Saccharomyces cerevisiae S288C: one gene and its partners. Changing the gene in region 1 together with any one later gene gives a genetic interaction. Each region holds a gene or a part of one and is shown in the gene's direction. Other genes may lie near its edges. The genes, in order: DUN1, CKB2, RTT103 and RAD9.

Region 1 (3,582 bases):
GGTTGGTTCAATGCAAATTATTACATCCCTTTTTTATCACAAGATCTTCGTAACAATAGTACTAATTAATAGTGCTGGGGATTCTCAACCATTTTTTTTTTTTCAAAAGCGAAAATGGATAAAACGGTGGCAACTTCAAACAAGTTGAGGGAAGCCAACGCAGCGTTTAGGAAAACGTACGACAAGAACAAGAAGATCATCACATTGTAATTATGGATTTAACCGTGGAACCTAATTTGCACTCTTTAATTACCTCTACCACTCATAAGTGGATTTTCGTTGGTGGTAAAGGTGGTGTTGGTAAGACTACTTCATCATGTTCCATTGCTATCCAAATGGCTTTGAGTCAACCAAACAAACAGTTCCTACTGATCTCTACTGATCCTGCCCATAACTTAAGTGATGCATTCGGTGAGAAATTTGGTAAAGACGCCAGAAAGGTGACAGGCATGAATAATCTATCATGTATGGAAATCGATCCATCCGCTGCTTTGAAGGATATGAACGACATGGCAGTTTCACGCGCTAACAATAACGGAAGTGACGGTCAAGGTGACGATCTAGGAAGCTTGCTTCAAGGTGGTGCTCTTGCTGATTTGACCGGTTCCATCCCTGGTATCGACGAAGCTTTATCCTTCATGGAAGTCATGAAGCACATTAAAAGGCAAGAACAGGGCGAAGGTGAAACCTTCGATACTGTTATTTTTGACACTGCTCCAACTGGCCACACATTAAGATTTCTACAACTACCAAATACTTTATCCAAGCTTTTGGAAAAGTTCGGTGAAATTACCAACAAATTGGGCCCAATGCTAAACTCTTTTATGGGCGCAGGTAATGTCGATATCTCTGGAAAATTGAACGAGTTAAAGGCTAATGTCGAGACCATCAGACAACAATTCACGGATCCTGACCTAACGACTTTTGTTTGCGTTTGTATCAGTGAATTCTTATCCTTATATGAAACTGAAAGACTAATTCAGGAATTGATTTCCTACGATATGGACGTTAATTCCATCATTGTCAACCAATTATTATTTGCTGAAAACGATCAAGAGCACAACTGTAAGAGATGTCAGGCAAGATGGAAGATGCAAAAGAAGTACTTGGACCAAATCGACGAATTGTACGAAGATTTCCATGTCGTTAAAATGCCATTATGTGCTGGAGAAATCAGAGGCTTAAATAACTTAACAAAGTTCTCACAGTTCCTAAACAAAGAATATAACCCTATTACTGATGGCAAAGTCATTTATGAGTTAGAAGATAAGGAATAGAAGCCCCTGAATACCATAAATAGATACATACGACATATAACCATAGAAAAAATAGTAATACGATGGTATGTGTGTGAAAAGAAAAAAATTACGTGACGCGACGCGTTTGTTTACTTTTTTCCATTTTATTTCCATGGTATTTTTCAAATGATTTTGGAAAATTATTAGATATTGTTGAAAAAGGAGGAAATGAGAACCCTTTATAGTCGAGAGTAACAAGTAAAGGGGCTTAACATACAGTAAAAAAGGCAATTATAGTGAAGATGAGTTTGTCCACGAAAAGAGAGCACTCTGGTGATGTAACTGACTCTTCATTCAAAAGACAGCAACGAAGTAATAAGCCCAGCTCAGAATACACTTGTCTGGGCCATCTGGTGAACTTAATACCCGGAAAGGAGCAAAAAGTGGAAATAACAAATAGAAACGTTACTACAATCGGTAGAAGTAGGTCGTGCGACGTTATATTGAGTGAGCCTGACATCTCGACTTTCCATGCTGAGTTTCATCTACTGCAAATGGATGTGGATAATTTCCAAAGAAATTTGATTAATGTTATCGATAAGAGCAGAAACGGAACTTTTATTAATGGTAATCGTTTGGTGAAGAAAGACTACATCCTTAAGAATGGTGACAGAATTGTCTTTGGCAAAAGTTGCTCCTTTTTGTTCAAGTACGCATCTTCATCTTCTACTGACATCGAAAATGACGATGAAAAGGTAAGTTCAGAAAGTCGTTCATATAAGAACGACGACGAAGTTTTCAAGAAACCGCAAATAAGTGCTACAAGTAGCCAAAATGCTACAACGAGTGCCGCAATTAGAAAACTGAATAAGACAAGGCCTGTGTCGTTCTTTGATAAATATTTATTAGGTAAAGAATTAGGTGCAGGGCACTACGCCCTGGTGAAAGAAGCCAAAAACAAAAAAACTGGTCAGCAAGTAGCTGTGAAAATATTCCACGCTCAGCAAAATGACGACCAAAAAAAGAATAAACAATTTAGGGAGGAAACTAACATCCTAATGAGAGTGCAACATCCAAACATTGTCAACTTACTAGATAGTTTTGTAGAGCCAATCAGCAAATCTCAGATTCAAAAATATTTGGTACTGGAAAAGATCGACGATGGCGAACTATTTGAAAGAATCGTCAGAAAAACATGTTTGAGACAGGATGAATCCAAAGCTCTATTCAAACAGTTACTTACCGGATTGAAGTATCTGCATGAGCAAAACATCATTCACAGAGACATCAAGCCAGAAAATATCTTATTAAATATAACAAGGCGCGAAAATCCAAGTCAAGTCCAACTTGGCCCATGGGATGAAGATGAAATTGATATTCAAGTTAAAATAGCGGATTTTGGCCTAGCAAAATTTACAGGAGAAATGCAATTCACAAACACACTTTGTGGTACGCCTTCTTATGTAGCGCCCGAAGTCCTCACAAAGAAAGGATACACATCAAAAGTAGATCTTTGGAGTGCTGGTGTCATATTATATGTCTGTTTATGTGGTTTTCCTCCATTCAGTGATCAATTGGGGCCACCTTCATTGAAGGAACAGATCTTACAAGCTAAGTATGCGTTTTACTCTCCGTACTGGGATAAAATCGATGACTCAGTACTACATTTAATATCCAATCTTTTGGTCCTAAATCCTGATGAAAGGTACAATATAGATGAAGCTTTGAACCACCCTTGGTTCAATGACATACAGCAACAAAGCTCGGTCTCATTAGAATTGCAGCGTTTACAAATTACTGACAATAAAATACCCAAAACATACTCAGAATTATCTTGCCTCTAAACATGAGAAGCATTATTTCAAAAACATTGTTTGAATCTGGATTTTTCCAAGTATCTATTTATATATACATATATATCCACCAACATGCAAAAAGTTGTTAGCCTTTCTTAATCCTAATATGATGTGCCACCCTATCGTTTTTTACCATTTGCTTAATTGTTCTACTTTCTCCTGCAGCTCTTTTTTAACCTTAACCCGCATATAAAAAATGTCACAGTTCTTATTTGAACACAAAACTTCACTATGTAAGTTACCAGCGCACCTTTGGCATTGTGTCCATAATCTTGAGTATTTTTCCTCTAAATCTCTGACATCGTATAATGCCTTTATGTATAATTCTCCAGACCTTGCTAGACAGTTTGAACAAAGAGGGCCTTCACCTTTCCTCAACGGACCTTTACAACTTTTACAAGCCTCAACTTTTTTAATAAAGCTCATCAAGCCTCCTTTTTGAGAGCCTGTGTTAATTTTAATGGATTTCACAACGAACATACCGTTCG
Region 2 (3,072 bases), on another chromosome or scaffold:
TTTCTGCTTTTTGCTGCCAGGGGCAATGTTACTTGGAGTTGCCTCTTTTGGCTTTCTCTTCAAATCCCTTGGCACAGTGTATGATGGAGTGTTGAATTCCATTGATGTGCTCTGGATAGTTTTGATGCCATTAGTTTGATTGTTAGCCGTTTTTTTTTTGGTCGGTTTCTTGCCCACGGCAGATCTACCAATATCGTTTGGAATAGGTGCTGCGCTTGCAGATTCTTCTAATTTGATGTTTTCTGGGAAACTTTTCGGTATTTGTTCTGCTAACGGCTCTTCAAGCTTTGGAAGCTTTTTGTTTACTTCTTGTAACGATTTGATTTCCGTTTGAGGCAATGCTACACCTAAATCCTTCTCTTGGAATGCGAATGTATACAATGTCGCGTCGTTTGAAATGGCAAACAAGGTGAACCCATCCTGTGACCAAGACATATCGTTTATTGCGGTGGAGGAAACCTGGAGAGCATTAAACAAAGGTTTCATTCTCTTCGTATTCCAAACCAAAATAGTACCGTCTGTAGATCCCGAAGTGGCGATTAAATTATAGCGTGTGCTGGTGCCCTTTTTCAAATTAGGCTTTTCATAAAATGCTGGAGAATAAACAAGAACTCTACATCCATTTGAAGAAGGTGTTACCAGTGTTTTTGTAACTTTGTAGTTGTTATTTCTGTCAAGTAAAGCGGTACAGCTGGTAGCATTATTCGGCACACCTTTCACCGAGTTTATCACTGGTAAAATGTCTGCCTGAGGTGACATTGAGATTCTATAATGTAATGGATACATTTGTACATGCTGCGTAAGTTTATTTATGAGTTTGTGTGTACCCGTTTTGTTAATTTGATAGACTAAAATTGATCTATCTGAAGTCATAACAGTAAAAGTTTGGCCAGTAGGATCTATTATGCCTGTAATAGGTTTGCTCGCCTTGTCAATAGTTATTTCAGAGAGTTTATCAAAGGTTTTATGCCGAAATAATAGTATCTTATTTTCATTACTTAAAAGAACAAATAAGATACCTAAGTTTATGTCATATTTCACATCCGTTATTGTGCTTGGAGATTTACACTCGAACAGAAGCTTACTGTTCATTTTTTCGACAGAATTGATGTTATTTGTATCTCTACAGAGCCAACCTGAATAACCCCACAGACGATGTTCAGATCCAATATACAATGTTTCGAGATCACCTGTTATGAAAAAAATATCACCGGTAGTATCCTGATCCACCTGGAAAGAAACTTCTGGCTTTAAATCCTTAATCATAACCCTATCGAATGCAGTATCGACTAGTTGTTGTTGTCTCCACGCCATCACGTGACCCCCACTGCCTGCCAATATGATATAGGGACCAAGGGCAGCTAAGGCATTCACTTGTTCATTATGAATATCCAAAGGATACTTTAATAATCTCATTGTTCCGGATTGTGTAGGAACTCCTTTGCTGCGTGGCGTATTCCTCTGTATGGACGATTTAGCACTTTTTGTATATTGTTTTATGAAGACTTCATAATTCTAGCCGAATTAACTGATATTTTTTTCGCGCTTTTTTTTGTCGACCTTCCAGGAAGAAAAAATATGAAAGCGAATAAATGGAGGTGTATTGGCAATCCTTTATCAAATGAAAACAAGCACCAAATAGAATAAGTAAATCACATTCTTAAAGAAGTTGGTCATTCCAGATACGTGGAATTTTCCTGCTGTATTTTTTCATCAATCTTTTACTTGAGAAATACTAGCTTTTTTCAAATTATTCAAGATTAAGGGACTTAGAGAACTGATAGAAAAGCAGATCATGGGCAGTAGATCGGAGAATGTGGGAACAGTGACTAGAGAAGGCTCCAGAGTGGAACAAGATGATGTCCTCATGGATGATGACTCTGACTCATCGGAATACGTGGATATGTGGATCGATTTATTTCTTGGGAGAAAAGGCCATGAATATTTCTGTGATGTCGATCCTGAGTACATCACTGATCGTTTTAATCTGATGAACTTGCAAAAGACAGTTTCAAAATTTTCCTACGTGGTACAATATATTGTGGATGATTTGGATGATAGTATCCTAGAGAATATGACACATGCCCGTTTAGAACAATTAGAATCAGATTCCCGGAAGCTGTATGGTCTCATCCATGCACGCTACATTATAACTATCAAAGGATTGCAAAAAATGTACGCTAAGTACAAAGAGGCGGACTTTGGAAGATGTCCCCGTGTGTATTGTAATTTACAACAGTTGTTACCGGTTGGTTTGCATGACATTCCTGGTATAGATTGTGTCAAGTTATATTGTCCATCTTGTGAGGATCTTTATATACCAAAATCATCGAGACATAGTTCCATTGATGGTGCATACTTTGGAACAAGTTTTCCAGGTATGTTTTTGCAAGCATTTCCAGATATGGTACCCAAACACCCAACTAAAAGATATGTTCCAAAAATATTTGGATTTGAATTACATAAACAAGCTCAACTGACAAGGTGGCAAGAACTACAACGACTCAAGTTAGTTGAGAAACTTGAATCCAAAGATGTTGATTTGACGAAAAGTGGTGGTTTTAAAACCTAACTATTAAAGAAAGAAGAAAAAATTCGAAATGAAATCCTAGGCGAAATTGAAAACGAAAATGAAAATAATGGAGAAACTTCGTCATAAAATTGTGAAAATCAGGTATCATTTGTTCTCCTAGCATTTTCTTTCCTAGAATATTACTATTTTCTACCTCCATTCGTATTTTACTTTTCCTATTTAATATTAAATTTTTATATACCGTTATTGCCCCTTACGGCAATAATACAACCAGATAAAAGAGCGTGCTCCGAAGTTAGCCTGTTATATATCAACAATTTGCAAATGTGGTTACCCACGAATTATTGGTGTTATTTTAGTGAATAGCTTGAAATCTTTGAATGTAGGAAGCATCCTTATTTATCAAGAAATTGGAGAAGTGGCGGCATCGCGTGGAGACTGCCTATGAACTAAGAGGCGGTTTATATTTTAAAAACTCAAAAGCTGTTTGAAGACTAATCTGGAAGTACTGAAAAGAGGAGATTTACTCATTCTTTGGT
Region 3 (7,367 bases), 760 kb from region 1:
AGAGTATTTATATTCGGTTTACAAACTACAAATAGCGTGCTCATATCTCTTTTTTAATGATTTCATTTGTATGAGTATCGTCTTTCGTAGCTCTTCTAACGTCAATAATCTTAAAATCATCTGAAAAGTTGACATGCTCTGACACAGGAATAACAGTCTCTACTTTTATCTCTGGCATATTTGGCTCTGGACCATCTTTGATAAGATCTATAAAACTATCTTCCGAGTGACCTAGAATACAATGCAAAACGACTTGGGCGCCAGGTTTCGACAGGACCAGGCTGTTTTCCTTACAAAAAGAAGCCGCTACACAGTCAGGACATCCATCGCTGCATGGGCATTCTTCTATTCTTCTTAAACTAGACTCTATAATATCATCAATATGCTCAAACGCTTTAACACACAAGCCAGACCCGTACTTACCGCCCTTGGAATCATAGAATATTAATCTAGCTGGTCGCTTTCGTTTAGTTTGACGTTCTGCAAATTCCTTTTCCGGAGCTTTGCATTCAGTTTGTATTTCATCCACACCCGCCACTATAAATCGCGGTAACATACCCATAATTGCATGTTGCGCCCCGTGAATAGCTCCTGCTACATTTAATTGCTTCTTTTGGCAAATTTCTAAGGCATATTTTGGCATATCTATCCATAATCCTTTAGAATTGATTATTACAGGAGGGTTATGGGTTTCGATGGCATCGATGATCCTCTTGTACTTGTCTACTTTAAAAAAGCCAAATACAATAATTGTAGTCTTGATCTTACCAAAGTAAACAGGAACATCACTATTCCTTAAAGAGCGTATAAGTTCAATTTCCTGTGGATCTACATCTGTAAAGTCTCTTTGGTTGGTTACCCAGTCAACATCTACTCTTTGCACTTTAGCATATCTTTCATCAGGATTAAACTCCTTCACAAGGTAGGGATAGCCTTGGTGAATGAATATACCGCCATCATATAAAGTAAAACTAGTCCTGGATGCTTCTATTTCCTCAATTATTATATTTCTTCCATTTGTTATATCCACTACGGCAAATTGATCTTCTTCTCCGCCTCTCAAAGATACACACTTGGACGGCCATGGTAAAAATCTATTACTGGCGTGGTACCCATCTTGATTGTGATGTAAGCGTTCAACACAGATTTTGCGAAGATGAGATTCAGTAAAGTATTGCTTGTCACGTTCAAAATTTATTGGCAGTTCGAAAGCAGCGCATTGTATGTGTCCTTCCAGTATCAAAATGTTATTGAAATCAAGAACCAAATCTTGATAAGATTCGAAATTATTAACCTCCAGCAAGGATTCTGGATGAGCAACATAATGTTGATCAACAGGCGAGTCACTTGCAACCACGAGGGTTAAAGAATCATTATTTCTTCTTCCAGCTCTACCACTTTGTTGATGAAAATTCGCCATTGATAGTGGGAAACCGCACATCAAGACTGCGTCTAGTCCACCGATATCAATACCAAGTTCTAGAGCATTGGTAGATATGACAGCCTTTAAATTTCCGTGAAACATCTCACGTTCTATTTTACGTCTGTCGGAAGCAGAATAACCACCCCTGTAAGACATGACTTCTGTAACCAGATCCTCACGCCCAGTTTCAATAAAAATATTGCGAACTTCTTTCATCAACAATTCACAAACACGACGAACGTAGCAAAATGCTATGGTTCTTACGTTGTTCAATATCAATTGTACCAATATCTTTGCACTCTCTCTAATGAAATTTTCTCGTTTACGTTCGTGTTGAGGTAAAATTGGAGGATTCCACACCACTAGATGCTTAGCACCTGTAGGTGAGCCATCCTCGTGTATTAGCGTAACCTCATTAATTCCAAACATGTCCTTCATATGTTGTACTGGAGACTTTAAAGTTGCAGAACATGAAATAAATTGTAAACCACTATTTTCGTAAAAACAGTGGCACAGTCTTAGTAAACGTCTCATCACTAATGCCACGTGCGATCCAAATAAACCCTTATATATATGCAATTCATCGACCACCACTAACTTTAGATGGTACAAAAAATGTCTCCAATTTGCATGATTAGGTAAAATGCTGGTATGTATCATGTCAGGATTGGTAAAAATAACTCTAGCATTTTTACGAATATAAGCTCTTTCCTCTGGCTCCGTATCGCCGTCATACGTATCAACCACGGCATTCTTTAGCTCGGGGATCTTTGAAAGTATTACCTTGAATGCTCTTTTTTGATCTTGTGCCAGGGCCTTTGTTGGAAATATATACATAAACGTTGATTCAGGATCCTTTAAAAGAAGATCGATAGCTGCTAGTTGGTAAATAAGGGATTTACCTGAAGAGGTCGATGTTGTAATAATGACGTTTTCGCCTTGATGAAGACTGTTTATCGCATCTGCTTGATGGCTGTAGAAATTTTCGTGTTCCATACCCTGATATACTTCCGGTGCAAGCTCAAAACAGAGACCTTTATACTTCGCTGTTCTTGATGGTATTGTAAAACAATGCTTTATCTGAGAAGCGTAGAATTCAGTACTTTTTAATTTCTCAATCATTTGAGGAATTGTTGTTATCACTGAATTATTGGAATAATTGGGAATGCTCATCTCATTACTTTCTTGCTTCGCCTTCATCATTGCCTCAATAGGATCCTCATAATCTCTCTCCCTTGGAATATATTTCTGCGCTAGATTTGTTAACTCAGAAAATGGGTCAAGGTTAGCCTTTTCCTTTTCCAGGATAAATTCCCGTAGTCTGGATTTAAAGAGAGCTTCCCTTTTAGAAATCATCTTTTTCATTTCCTCCGTAGTATATGTTGGTATCTTTATTTGAGAAAATCTATCACTTGCAGACCATGAGCGTTGCATTGTACCGTCTATAAATTCAAATATAAGTAACTGAGTAGATTTTTGAGTCTGATTTTGGTCATCAACGTCCTTCAGTTCAAATATGTCATTTTCCTTCTGCTGAAAGCCGCCATTATTGAAGTCAAAAATCTTAGTTTCAGTATAAATTTGGTTCTCATCAATATACTTGAAAACACATTCTCTTGGCATTAGCGCCATAACCATGGCTAGGTCTTCTTTCGTCACAGTTCTTTTCAAAGCAGTTTCTATAGGTCCACAAAGTGTTTTAAATGTAGGCACAACATGCTTTCTGCAAATCAAAAAGGTGTAAAGAGTATTAAGGCGGAAAAAAAATTGTTCAAAATTTCTAAAGGCATCGGTCTTTCCACTCCCTTGACCTGCTGACTTCAGTTTCTTTTTGATAGGTCCTTCCTCCATTTTTCCTTCTCAAATGAACATTTCTTTTCTACGACCTTAACCATCTCAATATGTATAACGGTTCTGTTTTATAACGAAAAATGAAAAAGTTATTTTTTTCCTTTAAAAATATATAAACTTGAAAAGCCAACATAATAATATAAGTACAAGCGAAGAAGGTTTTAACGAAGAGGTAGAAAATTTGAAGAAAGCAATAATCCAAGATTAAAATAGACGGTATGCCTTTCTCTTCTGAGCAATTCACAACCAAATTAAATACGTTGGAAGATTCCCAAGAATCTATTTCCAGTGCCTCAAAGTGGTTGCTTCTACAGTATAGAGATGCTCCCAAAGTGGCAGAAATGTGGAAAGAATACATGTTAAGGCCTAGTGTAAACACAAGAAGGAAGTTATTGGGTCTTTACTTAATGAATCATGTTGTTCAACAGGCTAAAGGTCAAAAAATTATTCAATTTCAAGATTCCTTTGGAAAGGTGGCAGCAGAAGTATTGGGAAGAATTAATCAAGAGTTTCCGAGGGACCTAAAAAAGAAGTTGTCAAGAGTTGTGAATATACTAAAAGAAAGAAATATATTTTCCAAGCAGGTAGTCAATGACATAGAAAGAAGTCTTAAAACCGAGAGCTCACCAGTGGAAGCGTTGGTGTTACCCCAGAAATTGAAAGATTTTGCTAAGGACTATGAAAAATTAGTGAAAATGCACCATAATGTTTGCGCGATGAAAATGAGATTTGACAAATCATCAGATGAATTGGATCCATCCAGCTCAGTTTACGAGGAAAATTTTAAAACAATAAGTAAGATTGGGAACATGGCTAAAGATATAATAAATGAATCAATTCTAAAAAGAGAAAGCGGTATCCATAAACTGCAAAGCACACTGGACGATGAAAAAAGGCATCTAGATGAGGAACAGAATATGTTAAGTGAAATAGAATTCGTTTTATCTGCTAAAGACCCATCCAGATTAAATAAAAACGTTGATGAAGACAATATTATTCCTACGTATGAAGTGGGGGATGGAGATGACGATGACGATGATGGTGATAATGATGATGATGATGATGATGATGATGATGACAAAAATTACGATGATAGATCCAATGACAGCAATTATGGCGTTACTAATATTAGCACCACAGATAAGAAGAATGAAGTTGTAGAAAAGACAGATAGCGAACATAAAAACTCTACTCATAATCCTAGTGACAATCAATTTGGTATGAAACGAACACATGATATGATAGGTCATGATGACGCTAATGACATACCGGAAAAAAAGGTTCATCTTGATTCGAAGACGAGTGAAGATGGTACTTTCAACAGTGAGGATGGACATTATGAGTTAGATATAGAAGGCCACGTCGGCGCCCAAACCGACGAAGGTGTTGAGAATTCCGGAGGGGTTTCTTCTAGTATACAAGACTTGTTAAGTAAGCTTGCAAATTAATATGATGGTTGAGTAAAAAGAAAACAAGGAGATAACTTATACAAATATATAGTAACCCGTTTAAGTCCAGTCTTTTTTCGTAACTATTTGCCCATAGTTTATTTCGTATTCATCTTCACTATTTCCTCGACAAAAAAGATGCGCACCTAAACTACATGGACACCTATGCAATGCTATATAGAATATGAATCGCCAATGCTTTTTATTATATCATCGTGCAAACTTTTAGTCTGCTCCTTTTCAAGGCCCATGATTTCTTGCACCAATTTTTCAAGAGACTCTAGTCCAAGCTCAGCCTGAGTTCTTCTACCTATCCTGTATGATATCACTTCCCCGTCGGTATCGGATTTCTCCTCCAATCTGACTATATATTCGCGCTTTTCTAAACTTTTTATCAAATCTTCAATAGTAATGTTCAGTATAGCAATCTTTGAACCATCGCTTGGAATGCCAAATGTCTCTAGAAATTTGATCAATTCCTGATGTAATATGTTATTCTTAGAGAAGAAAACAATGCATAAAATGACGCTCAAAACACCCTTGTAAACAAGATCTCGATCTGTACTCAACTTGCTTTCTAAGGTATTGGAAGTTCCTGAAGCTATATCGTCACCAATATACTCTCCGGTAACTATTAGCTCTTCATAAGTGTGAGCGCTTTGTAAAATCTTGAAATCGTCAAAATTTTTTGAGTGCGGGACATTGTTTAGCAAGATAAATTTCTGGGCTCTATGTCCCAGTGGCTCAGGCATTGATTTATTTGTATTGCTATTGCTTCCATTACCGCCAGCGTTCATATTATTTTTTGACGGCAATCCTTGTAATTCAAACCCATATACGTTATACAGTATAGCATTTATGTCCATAAACATTTTACTAAAAGACGGTTTTGCTATGTTTTCCTCGCGAGCAGCTTCATGTATAACAGATTGTAACTTGTTTCTTGTTATGATCGAATTTTGAGATTCTCCTCTCGATAAAATATACCTAACCATTTTTCTAGCTACAGGATTCTCTTTAACGATCTTGGCCACGGCTAAATCTTCTGTTAAATCCACATCGCTGTCATTATCTATAGAACTCATGCTAATGAGAAGCTTATGTTTATCGAACAACCTTCCCTTGTAGCATACTGATATAGGACCCCTTCAATCGAAGTTGATAATAAGCGCATTACTCTTCATTGAAATTTTTCTTCACGTATATCGCGCTGTTAAAGGAGAGGGCCGCATGCATGTAATACTTGCTATTCTTGAGTCAGAAGCCCACACTAAGTGACCTGTGAAATCAAGTTGCTGCTTCAAGATATCGTCCTGTACTGGAAAAAAATACTAGTAGGAATTGCGTGAAGTACTATATAAACTTTTCTTAGATGTAGCTTATTTAACGACACCTGAGGGGGGCATTTAGTATTCTAACTCACCCGCAACGTGAGGCCAAAACGATTCTGCAAATCGCTTCTGCTCCATCGACTCACATCCACCTCTAATAGCCAAGTAACATCTTCTGTCTAATGGAATGTTCCATTCTCCACAATTTCCGCCAACCATTATTCCTCCTGCTTCCTCAAGAATACACCAACCGGCACAAACATCCCAAGCCCAGCAGCCACCTTCCCAATAAGCATCAAGCATGCCGCTCGCTACGTAGCATATGTTCATGGCAGCACTTCCTGCACTTCTGAACCCGTGAACAAAGGCGCCGGACTCACTTAGTAAGTTTTTATAAGTATTCATTTTCTTATCAAAGTTTCCTTGGGAACCTTCAGTTCTTTCCGAACCTCCTTCTAAAGCAATTAAGGATTTTTGCAAAATCAATGGCCTTTTTGAAACCTTTATCTCCTGATCATTTAAGAAAGCTCCATTGCCTTTGGAAGCATGGAATAGTTGGTTTAAGTGAGGATTGAAAACCACACCAACAACCGGCTTCCCCATTTCAGCTAAACCTAGAGATGTACAACTATAGGGGTAACCGTGAATAAAATTAGTAGTACCATCGATGGGATCAACAATAAATGTAGGGCCGTTAGTTATTTTCGTGACACCTTTTACATAAGTTTCTTCTCCGATAAATTTGAAACTGGGATACTTGGCCGTTAAATTTTCCTTGATTATAGATTCAATTTGTTTGTCTAAAGCAGTTACCAAATCTACGCCATTTGCTTTATCATCATATGAACAAAAGTTTGTTCCTGCGTGCGATTTTACGAGAGGTCCTATTTTACTCCTAAGTAATTCAATAAATGTGTTCTCCACTTCCTCTAGTACTTGCCTCGTTAATACCATCGCTTCAATCTAAGTTTACTTTACAAGGGCTTGTGGAGCTTCAACTTCACTTATTCTCTATATTGTTTTCACGATTTTTTCTCCCCACGATTTCATATGTAATGAAGCAGGGTGCTTCACGGCGTTATCACTCGGAACACTGACGTTCTTTATTAAGAATTACCGTTTTAAGGGAAATAATAAGAGGTCACTTAATATGACTGTGAGAATCCATTTTTGTAGTTTTTTAGTTACTGGCTTTGGAATGTCAATATAACTGTGATTGACTTCCCTTTTTTTCGCTTTATGGGTCTATGATGTGCGCAAGTTGTTACCTTTCCGTAGAGAGTTCGGAGTTGATGCATTGTAAAGTTTCGTTTA
Region 4 (9,750 bases), 620 kb from region 1:
CGATACAAAAAAAGAGCTACTATACGTACATAAAGTCAGTAAATAATCAAATGTTCCCAATGAAAGATCACTCAGCTCTTGAACAACATACTCTCAGCAGAGATGAGTTAAGACGTCGCAAGGGTTACAAGAAAGGACTGCAGTTGTCAATTTTGTTACTTGGAGAAAAAGGCAGCGGCAAATCAACGTTTTTAAACAATCTGTGCGGTCAGGATATATCGCTTTCTGATGGGGATTATGATGATGATGATGATAAAGTGACAAATAATGTAACACCAGAAAATGGAAACGCCATCGAAGATATAGATCCTGGATATAAAACAGCCCATTTGAGTCCTGGGCTGAAGCTTGTCACCAGAAGAGTGTATTTGAACGATGAACTAGGCGTACCCATAACATTAGATATCATATTGTTTCCAGGCTGCGGTGACAATGTCGACAATTCACAAAGCTCTGTTGTTATAAAAAACTACTTAGACCAACAGTTTGCAAATGTTTTAAAAGAAGAGGTCAGAATAAAGAGAAACACAAAAGAAACTGATGGGAGGCCTCATGTTTGTTTATACTTTCTGAAGAGTACTCCAAGAGGAGTCAAAAAATTTGATATTGAGTTAATGAAAACGATTTGTGATAAAGTTAATTTAATTCCCATTATTCCAAAAGCCGATGGTCTCACAGAAACTGAATTAAATTTACACAAAGACATTGTGCGCCAAGAAATCTCTCAGAACAATATACGTGTTTTTGATTTTAAAAGTGACACCCTAGGCGAAACATTAGCTCTGTACGATATGGACATCGATTCCAGTTCAGCAAAATCCAAATACGATAATGACACGAAGATCAAGGAAATATCGCCATTTGCCATTGTTTGCAGCAAAACTTTTAATAAAAATTCGGAAAATAGGGTTGAGCATATCAGAACGTACGAATGGGGTAGCTTGGTGGTCGAAGACCAAAACACCTCCGATTTTATATACTTAAAAGCAATACTGTTAGGTTCTCACCTTCAGGAATTAAAAGATGTAACAAACAACGTATTGTATGAAAATTATAGGGCTAAAGTGTTAACTGAGAAGAAAAACAACTATGATATTCCAAACTATAGCTATATCGACGAAACCTCAAGGGGAAGTGTCAGCAATGTTTCCACCAGAAGAAATAGTGCAAGTAGAACACTTGGGAATCCAGATACAAACGATGAAAATGCTTATCAAATACACAAAGAAATAGACGAAAAAAACAGAATTATTGAAGACTATCAAAGGAAGATTGATTTATTGGAGAAAATGTTGGCAGCTCCCCATCAAAATAAGGTCTAAATAAATATACGGCCTTGTTAGCGTTAGATACATATGAAATAAAATTTTATTGCTTTTTCAAGTGCACTAAAGTATAAGGCAAAATTTTTTTAATCTATAATATACTTTCTCGATGTGTCTCTATATAACCTTGTGTCTTTCTTATTACTGGCACGGCTTTGAATTTTCAGAGTGCAGTTCTGATTAAACACGCGAGGATTTTTGTTCGTGGATATTTGCAACGATGAGCAATGTGAAGTGAGCAAGATAGAGAAACGCCATAGAAAAGAGCATAGTGAGAAAATCTTCAACATCAGGGCTATGTCAGGCCAGTTAGTTCAATGGAAAAGCTCTCCAGATCGAGTCACCCAAAGCGCTATAAAGGAAGCACTGCATTCTCCCTTGGCTGATGGCGACATGAACGAAATGAATGTTCCCGTTGATCCGTTGGAAAACAAGGTAAATAGCACAAACATAATCGAAGGAAGTCCCAAAGCAAATCCAAATCCTGTCAAGTTTATGAATACAAGTGAGATATTTCAAAAATCTCTGGGATTACTTGACGAGAGTCCAAGACATGATGATGAGTTAAATATTGAAGTAGGAGATAATGATCGACCAAATGCTAACATATTGCATAATGAAAGGACTCCTGACCTTGACCGAATTGCTAACTTTTTCAAAAGCAATCGAACCCCTGGTAAAGAAAATCTTTTGACCAAATATCAAAGCTCCGATCTGGAAGACACTCCTCTGATGTTAAGAAAAAAAATGACTTTTCAAACTCCAACTGATCCATTGGAACAGAAAACCTTCAAAAAGTTGAAGTCAGATACTGGGTTTTGCTATTATGGAGAGCAGAATGATGGAGAAGAAAATGCGTCATTAGAAGTTACAGAGGCGGATGCCACTTTTGTACAGATGGCTGAACGTTCTGCTGATAATTATGACTGTGCATTGGAAGGAATTGTTACACCTAAAAGATATAAAGACGAATTAAGTAAAAGTGGAGGAATGCAAGATGAACGAGTTCAAAAAACTCAAATCATGATATCAGCAGAATCACCTAATTCGATAAGCTCTTATGACAAGAACAAAATTACCGGGAATGGCCGGACCACAAGAAATGTAAACAAGGTTTTTAACAATAACGAAGATAACATAGGAGCTATCGAGGAAAAAAATCCAGTAAAAAAGAAAAGTGAGAACTATTCATCAGATGATCTCAGAGAACGGAACAATCAAATAATACAAAGTAATGAATCAGAGGAGATTAACGAATTGGAAAAGAATCTGAATGTTTCGGGTAGAGAGAATGACGTGAACAATTTAGATATCGATATTAATAGTGCTGTGTCTGGCACCCCTTCACGCAACAATGCGGAAGAAGAAATGTATTCCAGTGAGAGTGTAAACAATCGGGAACCATCCAAGAAGTGGATATTCCGATACTCAAAAGACAAAACGGAAAATAATAGCAATAGATCTACGCAAATAGTCAATAATCCAAGAACACAGGAAATGCCTTTAGATAGTATTTCAATCGATACGCAACCCTTATCTAAAAGTTTCAATACCGAAACAAATAATGAATTAGAGACACAGATAATTGTTTCATCGCTTTCCCAAGGCATATCTGCTCAGAAGGGACCTGTTTTTCATTCTACTGGCCAGACAGAAGAAATAAAAACCCAAATAATAAATTCTCCTGAACAAAATGCTTTGAATGCAACCTTTGAAACTCCCGTTACTCTTTCTCGGATTAATTTTGAACCCATATTGGAAGTTCCTGAGACTAGTTCACCATCTAAGAATACGATGTCAAAACCCTCGAATTCTTCACCTATTCCGAAGGAAAAAGATACATTTAATATACACGAGAGAGAAGTAGAGACAAACAATGTTTTTTCAAACGATATACAAAATTCTTCAAATGCAGCTACCAGAGATGACATTATCATAGCCGGTTCATCTGATTTCAACGAACAAAAGGAAATAACCGATAGAATATACTTACAACTTTCAGGAAAGCAAATATCTGATTCAGGAAGTGATGAAACAGAACGTATGTCCCCAAATGAGCTTGATACGAAAAAGGAAAGTACAATCATGAGCGAGGTTGAACTAACCCAAGAACTGCCTGAAGTTGAAGAGCAGCAAGATCTTCAAACGTCTCCAAAAAAGCTGGTAGTCGAGGAAGAAACTTTAATGGAGATAAAAAAAAGCAAGGGGAACTCACTTCAGCTTCATGATGATAATAAAGAATGCAATTCAGATAAACAAGATGGCACAGAGTCTTTGGATGTAGCTTTGATTGAACACGAAAGCAAAGGACAGAGCTCAGAACTTCAGAAAAACCTCATGCAATTATTTCCAAGTGAGTCACAGGAGATTATTCAGAACCGAAGAACAATAAAGCGACGTCAAAAAGATACAATAGAGATCGGTGAAGAGGAGGAGAACAGAAGCACTAAGACATCACCGACAAAACACCTCAAAAGAAATTCAGATTTGGATGCTGCTTCTATCAAAAGGGAACCGTCTTGCAGCATTACCATACAAACAGGGGAGACAGGTTCGGGCAAAGACTCTAAAGAACAGTCTTACGTGTTTCCTGAAGGTATTAGAACGGCAGATAATAGTTTCTTATCGAAAGACGACATAATTTTTGGAAATGCGGTATGGTGTCAGTATACGTGGAATTACAAATTTTATCCGGGTATTTTATTGGAAGTTGACACTAATCAAGATGGCTGTTGGATTTATTTCGAAACAGGAAGATCGCTAACCAAAGATGAGGACATCTACTACTTAGATATTAGAATAGGGGATGCTGTTACCTTTGATGGAAATGAGTACGTAGTCGTTGGTCTAGAATGTCGTAGCCATGATCTCAACATAATAAGATGTATTCGAGGATATGATACGGTTCATTTGAAAAAAAAAAATGCAAGCGGATTGTTGGGGAAAAGGACGTTAATTAAAGCACTAAGCTCGATCAGTCTTGACCTAAGCGAGTGGGCTAAAAGAGCGAAGATCATATTAGAAGATAATGAGAAAAATAAAGGCGACGCGTATAGGTACTTGAGACATCCCATTAGGGGAAGGAAATCAATGACCAATGTTCTGTCTCCGAAGAAACATACTGATGACGAAAAGGACATAAATACGCATACTGAAGTGTACAATAACGAAATAGAATCGAGCTCCGAAAAGAAGGAAATTGTTAAAAAGGATTCTAGAGACGCATTAGCTGAACATGCAGGAGCGCCAAGCCTGCTTTTTTCTTCTGGTGAAATCAGAACAGGGAATGTATTTGATAAATGTATTTTTGTTTTGACAAGCCTATTCGAAAATAGAGAGGAACTTCGACAGACCATTGAATCGCAAGGCGGCACTGTAATTGAGTCAGGATTTTCCACTTTATTTAACTTCACTCATCCGCTAGCTAAATCTTTAGTCAATAAAGGTAATACAGATAATATTCGAGAATTGGCCTTGAAGCTAGCCTGGAAACCTCATTCCCTATTTGCAGACTGCAGATTTGCTTGCCTAATCACAAAACGGCATTTAAGAAGCTTAAAGTACTTAGAAACTTTGGCGTTGGGGTGGCCTACACTACACTGGAAATTCATAAGTGCATGCATTGAAAAGAAAAGAATAGTACCACATTTAATATACCAATACCTATTACCTTCGGGTGAAAGTTTTCGGTTATCGTTAGATTCTCCATCAAAGGGAGGAATCATTAAATCCAACAATATTTTTTCATTTTATACACAATTCTTACGCGGATCTAATTTAAGAGATCAGATATGTGGAGTGAAGAAAATGTTAAATGACTACATTGTTATTGTTTGGGGTAGATCTGAGTTGGACAGTTTTGTCAAATTTGCTTTTGCATGTTTGAGCGCAGGTAGAATGCTTACAATTGATTTACCCAATATTGATGTAGATGATACAGAGCCATTGTTAAATGCCTTAGATTCTTTAGTACCCAGAATAGGATCAGAATTATCTAATCGAAAGTTAAAGTTTCTCATATATGCTAACGAAAATAATGGTAAATCTCAGATGAAGCTTCTCGAAAGATTGAGAAGTCAAATATCACTGAAATTTAAGAAATTTAATTACATATTTCACACTGAATCTAAAGAATGGCTAATTCAGACAATAATTAACGAGGACACTGGTTTTCACGATGATATTACGGACAATGATATATACAACACTATTTCTGAGGTTAGATGAAATTATAAAAATATATAAACTCATAATTGATAGAAAGGGACGATTAAATAAAAAAAAATTTAGAGATTCTTAATTAAGTCTAAGAACATCCTCCCACACGCCAGGAGTGGTTAATGTTCAAGATTGGTATTAGTTATACACGGTAACCAACAACGTTGGTAAGGTCTTTTTCTTCTATACATGAATTTTAAGATCAAGCATATATTTTAGGCTTGCATCTTGTAATGAACTAACTTTCATAAATAGCTTTTCTTTTTTGTATGAGGTATAAGATGAAAAATGTTAAACATGATACAGGATTTAATATAAAATGGACCAAAATAAGGAGCAATAACGAGATTCACCCCAATGGGTGAGATGAGAAACGCCAAGGTAGTGAAATATTTTTGTGCAACAATTTCAAAGATAAGATCGGTGTTCTCCCGCAGTAGTCCACTTCAGTCGCATGCATGGCTGTTTGATGAGAAATAAAATGAGATATTCAAAATCTCATCAGAAAGAGTTGAGTACTGGGACGACACATATCAGCAACGAGACATAATCGTCAACTGTTTCCCTTTAGATGATTTTCCAAAGTGTGGAAATCACTTGCCATCTTATCTAACATGTGACAATGAATGTAGTTTTCTTTAACATTGGTGAAAAATAACTTGGCAATAGTAACATATTTCAGAGATAATTGGTACTTTTCGGCAAATCCTTGCCCCTTTCCACCATTTTTATGTTTTGATGAATGATTTTCCCCGTAACGTAAAAGATTCAAAGTAGAAACAGTTTGATGCGAATCATTTAAGCCGCTGAAGTTAATACCTTCTAGGCCGGTATCCGATAGGAAATGTGCTGAACGAGGCAAGTCTGTCACTGCCCTGTCCCCATTATCAAAGGAAAATTCATTTCGAATAGGATCCTCCATATTCAAAAAAGAGGTATCGTTAAAAGAGTTAACTAGGATTTCATTAATAAACATTGCAAGCCCTTCAACATTGATCTTTTTGGCTAACTTAGTCTTAACAGCTGCACTTGCACCATTATGGTGTTCATTTGCGGATAAACCAGGGACAAGCATACCATTATCTTTATTTATAAATTGTTGCGTAAATACAACATCAGGAAATCCAGAAAACTCTTGCGGATACAATCTTGAAAGTGTGGGAAGTAAAATAGAATTCGCAAGGCTTCTCAACTCAATAAAAATTCTCAGTAACTTAAAATTTGGAGTTGCTTCAAAATCCAATAAAAATTTGATAATTAGGATGAAGCAATAGTAATAGCCTTGTAAATTGAAGACAGAAAGCGCTTGATTATTCAGGTGGATCCTTGGCAGCTCTGGAGAATTCATTCTTTGGGAGCAATCACTTTCTTCTTCTACGTATAAAGACGAAATATTACGGATTGAAAAGTTCAACGCTACTAAAAATTCACACAATACTTCAACTGAATAATTCTTCAAAAAATTCAACCTCACAGAGTTCAAAAAGGAATCATATATCTTTGCTATTTGTCCTTTTCTAACCTTCTCAGTAAACGAGCGATCAATCTGTTTGATGAATCTCATTGACATTAAATTATTTTTCAAAATTATGGTGTCATCAATTAAGATCGCAATATTTTTATTGGTTGCTGCCATATTATCATTGCCATAGGAAGAAGTGTCAAGACTCCTCTCTAGCCTTTTCGTATCGATTCGATCCAAAAACACATGTGATTTGGTTCCTTTTCTTAAATCGTATTCATAATAAATCATAGATGACCCTAAAAATTCTGGTATTGAGTGTAAGTGTCCATACGTGAAACTGTAATAAAAGTTTCTAAAATCATAAAAATTTTGCTTTTGCACAACATGCCCATTACATATTATCGATTCACTGGCCCATTTTGACTCATTGTCGGGAATATAAATGGTTTCAACATCTTTTTCCTTTATAGACAAATCGAATTTAATATGGAAGAAACATTTCAAGAACTGACAAAAATCATAAGCCATTAAGGTGCATCTAATTTTTGACTCAAAAATGATGTATTGAAGAGGAGAACCAAATGTTAAAGGTTCATTGTTATTATTGATACTCTTCTCAGAATTTGCAGAAATTGTCGGTAAACAGTTTGATCTGATCGTTGAACATAATGCGGACAATTGCCTTTTCATCAAAGAGGAGTCAATTTTCTCCAAATAATCAGCAACTAGAGCGAACATGAAGCTCAATATTAGGGATTGCATCAACCAAATGTTCTGATAACTGTCATTTACTGTTGTACTGCGACACCTTCTTTTAGTCTCCAAAAAAGAATGTAGAATTCTTCTACTCATCTCATACAATTCTATTGTTTGAGATTTGTAACCGAACTTATGCAAAGAACCAAATGTGGCCATAAATAAGGGTAAACAAACGATTTTCGAAATGGACAAGATTTGATAGTGCTCGTAATCATATTCTTTATCTGTCCCTTGACTTAATCGATCAAACAACTGCGCGTTTTCAGCGTCATCATACCCATCCTCATTAGTATATCGTTGCAAGCTATCCAAATCCAAATCAAGCAAGCTTGGGTGAATAATAGGGAAATGGGGAAGGAAATTATTCTTGAAAAGATCTAAATATTCGTTCAATTCACTCACAGCTGGCATTAACAATTCTTTGGACAGCAAGTTTGGATTAGAGTCCATGACACTCTCACTACTATCATGACTGAACTTTTCATAGTATCTAAGCACTTTAATGCACATATTTCTCATTGGTTCATTAAATAGCTTTGATTCTATGGAATGCGATGGCTGATTGTTGTTCACAGTGGAGGCCGGCAGAGCTCTTGATATTTTCGATAACGTTAAACAATCTAACCCATAAAAAGTATAGTTGCCGCTATCTGGCTTTTCTTTCCTGTTTGACGTTGATAAAAAGTCTTCCAGGGATCGTTTAGACTCTTCTCCTTTCAAATATTGACTGAATATGGCTTGAACATCTCTGGTCATATTACATAGCTTATCCAGATCATCTTCGCGATTGGAAGGATGATCGAGTCCGAAAGAAATCAACATATCGTCATTGGTCCCCTCTTTATTCTTATAAATTAACTTATGAGGAGAAATTGGAGAGTTTGATAGGTTCAAATGGGAAAGGTCAATCTCATTTGACGTGGCGGTAGCACTTACGCTATCATCATGTAAAAGTTCAAATTCTTTTAAAACGGCAGTGGTCTCTAACAAATCATTACCTAAAGTATCATTATCCAGCAGTTCTTGAAAATCGACGAAATCAGGTTGGTTGTCTGATACCTTATTGTTATTGCTATTATTATCTATAGCAACAGTCCAAGAGGAGGACCTTGAATCCTTCAAATGATGTATAGTCGATTTAAAATCTGGGACGATTAATTTAGTGTCGTTTAATTCAGAGTTCATTGGAGAAGTTTCATCACTTTCAGATACTGAAAACAAATGATCATTATAGGCTTTTATCCAGTACGACGACGACAATAAGTCTGCGTCATTAAATGAAGCGTTCTTAGAATTCGTGTTAGCGCCGACATATGCGCGGGTTGGTGAGCCGGAAGAATATGTGTAGTTATTTGCTGATTCGGGCAATTTATAATCCAAATTCATTGTTGATCCAGAAGAATCAGAACGGTTTAATGCTATATTGAAATTGGAATCTAGATTTAGGTTTAAATCTAGATTCATATTCAGGTCAAACGAAGAGTCAAGTTCAGGATTCTTCAAGTCAAGTGGAACTAATTCAGGCGTAGAAAATTTAACACGATCCTTTGGATGTTGTTCTAGCGAAGATTGGTCGGGCAAAGCATAGCTGGATGCTGATTGTGCGCTAAATGAAGCCCTGCGCGTCAGTTTTTTCAAGTACTTACGTTTAACATTAGCTTCAGGGCTTGCTTTTCTTCTTGTATTGGCAGTAGTGCGATTCAAAAAATTACCATTATCTGGAGTACCATAGGTTGGAGTTTGAAACTTGACTGAGGATGCAGAATTTTTCCGAGCTTTAGTTATAGTTCTCGACACTTTCTTGGTATGGGAAATCGTTTCCCCTAAATTACCACTATGGATTTTTTGAGCATGCCTGATCAGTAAGTCCCTCCTAGTAAAGCATCTGTTGCAGAGGCCACAGGGATAAGGTTTTTCATTTGTATGCGATCTGTAATGTCTTTTCAAGTGCTCTTGTCTTGCGAACGCTCTCGTACAAACCTC

What was found.
Region 2: mutations in DUN1 (region 1) and CKB2 together harm fitness more than expected from each alone (negative genetic interaction), as found in Saccharomyces cerevisiae (7 studies listed by BioGRID, with this or other methods).
Region 3: mutations in DUN1 (region 1) and RTT103 together harm fitness more than expected from each alone (negative genetic interaction), as found in Saccharomyces cerevisiae (5 studies listed by BioGRID, with this or other methods).
Region 4: mutations in DUN1 (region 1) and RAD9 together harm fitness more than expected from each alone (negative genetic interaction), as found in Saccharomyces cerevisiae (8 studies listed by BioGRID, with this or other methods).

What each region holds. Positions count from the first base shown.
Region 1 is NC_001136.10:279,807-283,388, reverse strand, and holds DUN1 (serine/threonine protein kinase DUN1), read left to right. Parts: upstream 1-1,540; coding exon 1,541-3,082; downstream 3,083-3,582. Other genes in the region: guanine nucleotide exchange factor GET3, read left to right, coding at 213-1,277; DNA-directed DNA polymerase delta POL3, read right to left, coding at 3,224-3,582. UniProt on the Saccharomyces cerevisiae protein: Transducer of the DNA damage signal. Phosphorylates SML1 on serine residues. Cooperates with the PAN deadenylation complex in the regulation of RAD5 mRNA levels and cell survival in response to replicational stress.
Region 2 is NC_001147.6:403,973-407,044, forward strand, and holds CKB2 (casein kinase 2 regulatory subunit CKB2), read left to right. Parts: upstream 1-1,795; coding exon 1,796-2,572; downstream 2,573-3,072. Other genes in the region: HIR2 (Hir2p), read right to left, coding at 1-1,416. UniProt on the Saccharomyces cerevisiae protein: Regulatory subunit of casein kinase II/CK2.
Region 3 is NC_001136.10:1,035,635-1,043,001, reverse strand, and holds RTT103 (Rtt103p), read left to right. Parts: upstream 1-3,492; coding exon 3,493-4,722; downstream 4,723-7,367. Other genes in the region: HRQ1 (ATP-dependent 3'-5' DNA helicase), read right to left, coding at 41-3,274; Smc5-Smc6 complex subunit NSE3, read right to left, coding at 4,896-5,807; inositol monophosphate 1-phosphatase INM2, read right to left, coding at 6,129-7,007. UniProt on the Saccharomyces cerevisiae protein: Involved in transcription termination by RNA polymerase II and in regulation of Ty1 transposition.
Region 4 is NC_001136.10:895,353-905,102, reverse strand, and holds RAD9 (chromatin-binding protein RAD9), read left to right. Parts: upstream 1-1,622; coding exon 1,623-5,552; downstream 5,553-9,750. Other genes in the region: septin SPR28, read left to right, coding at 51-1,322; DNA-binding transcription factor ADR1, read right to left, coding at 6,097-9,750. UniProt on the Saccharomyces cerevisiae protein: Essential for cell cycle arrest at the G2 stage following DNA damage by X-irradiation or inactivation of DNA ligase.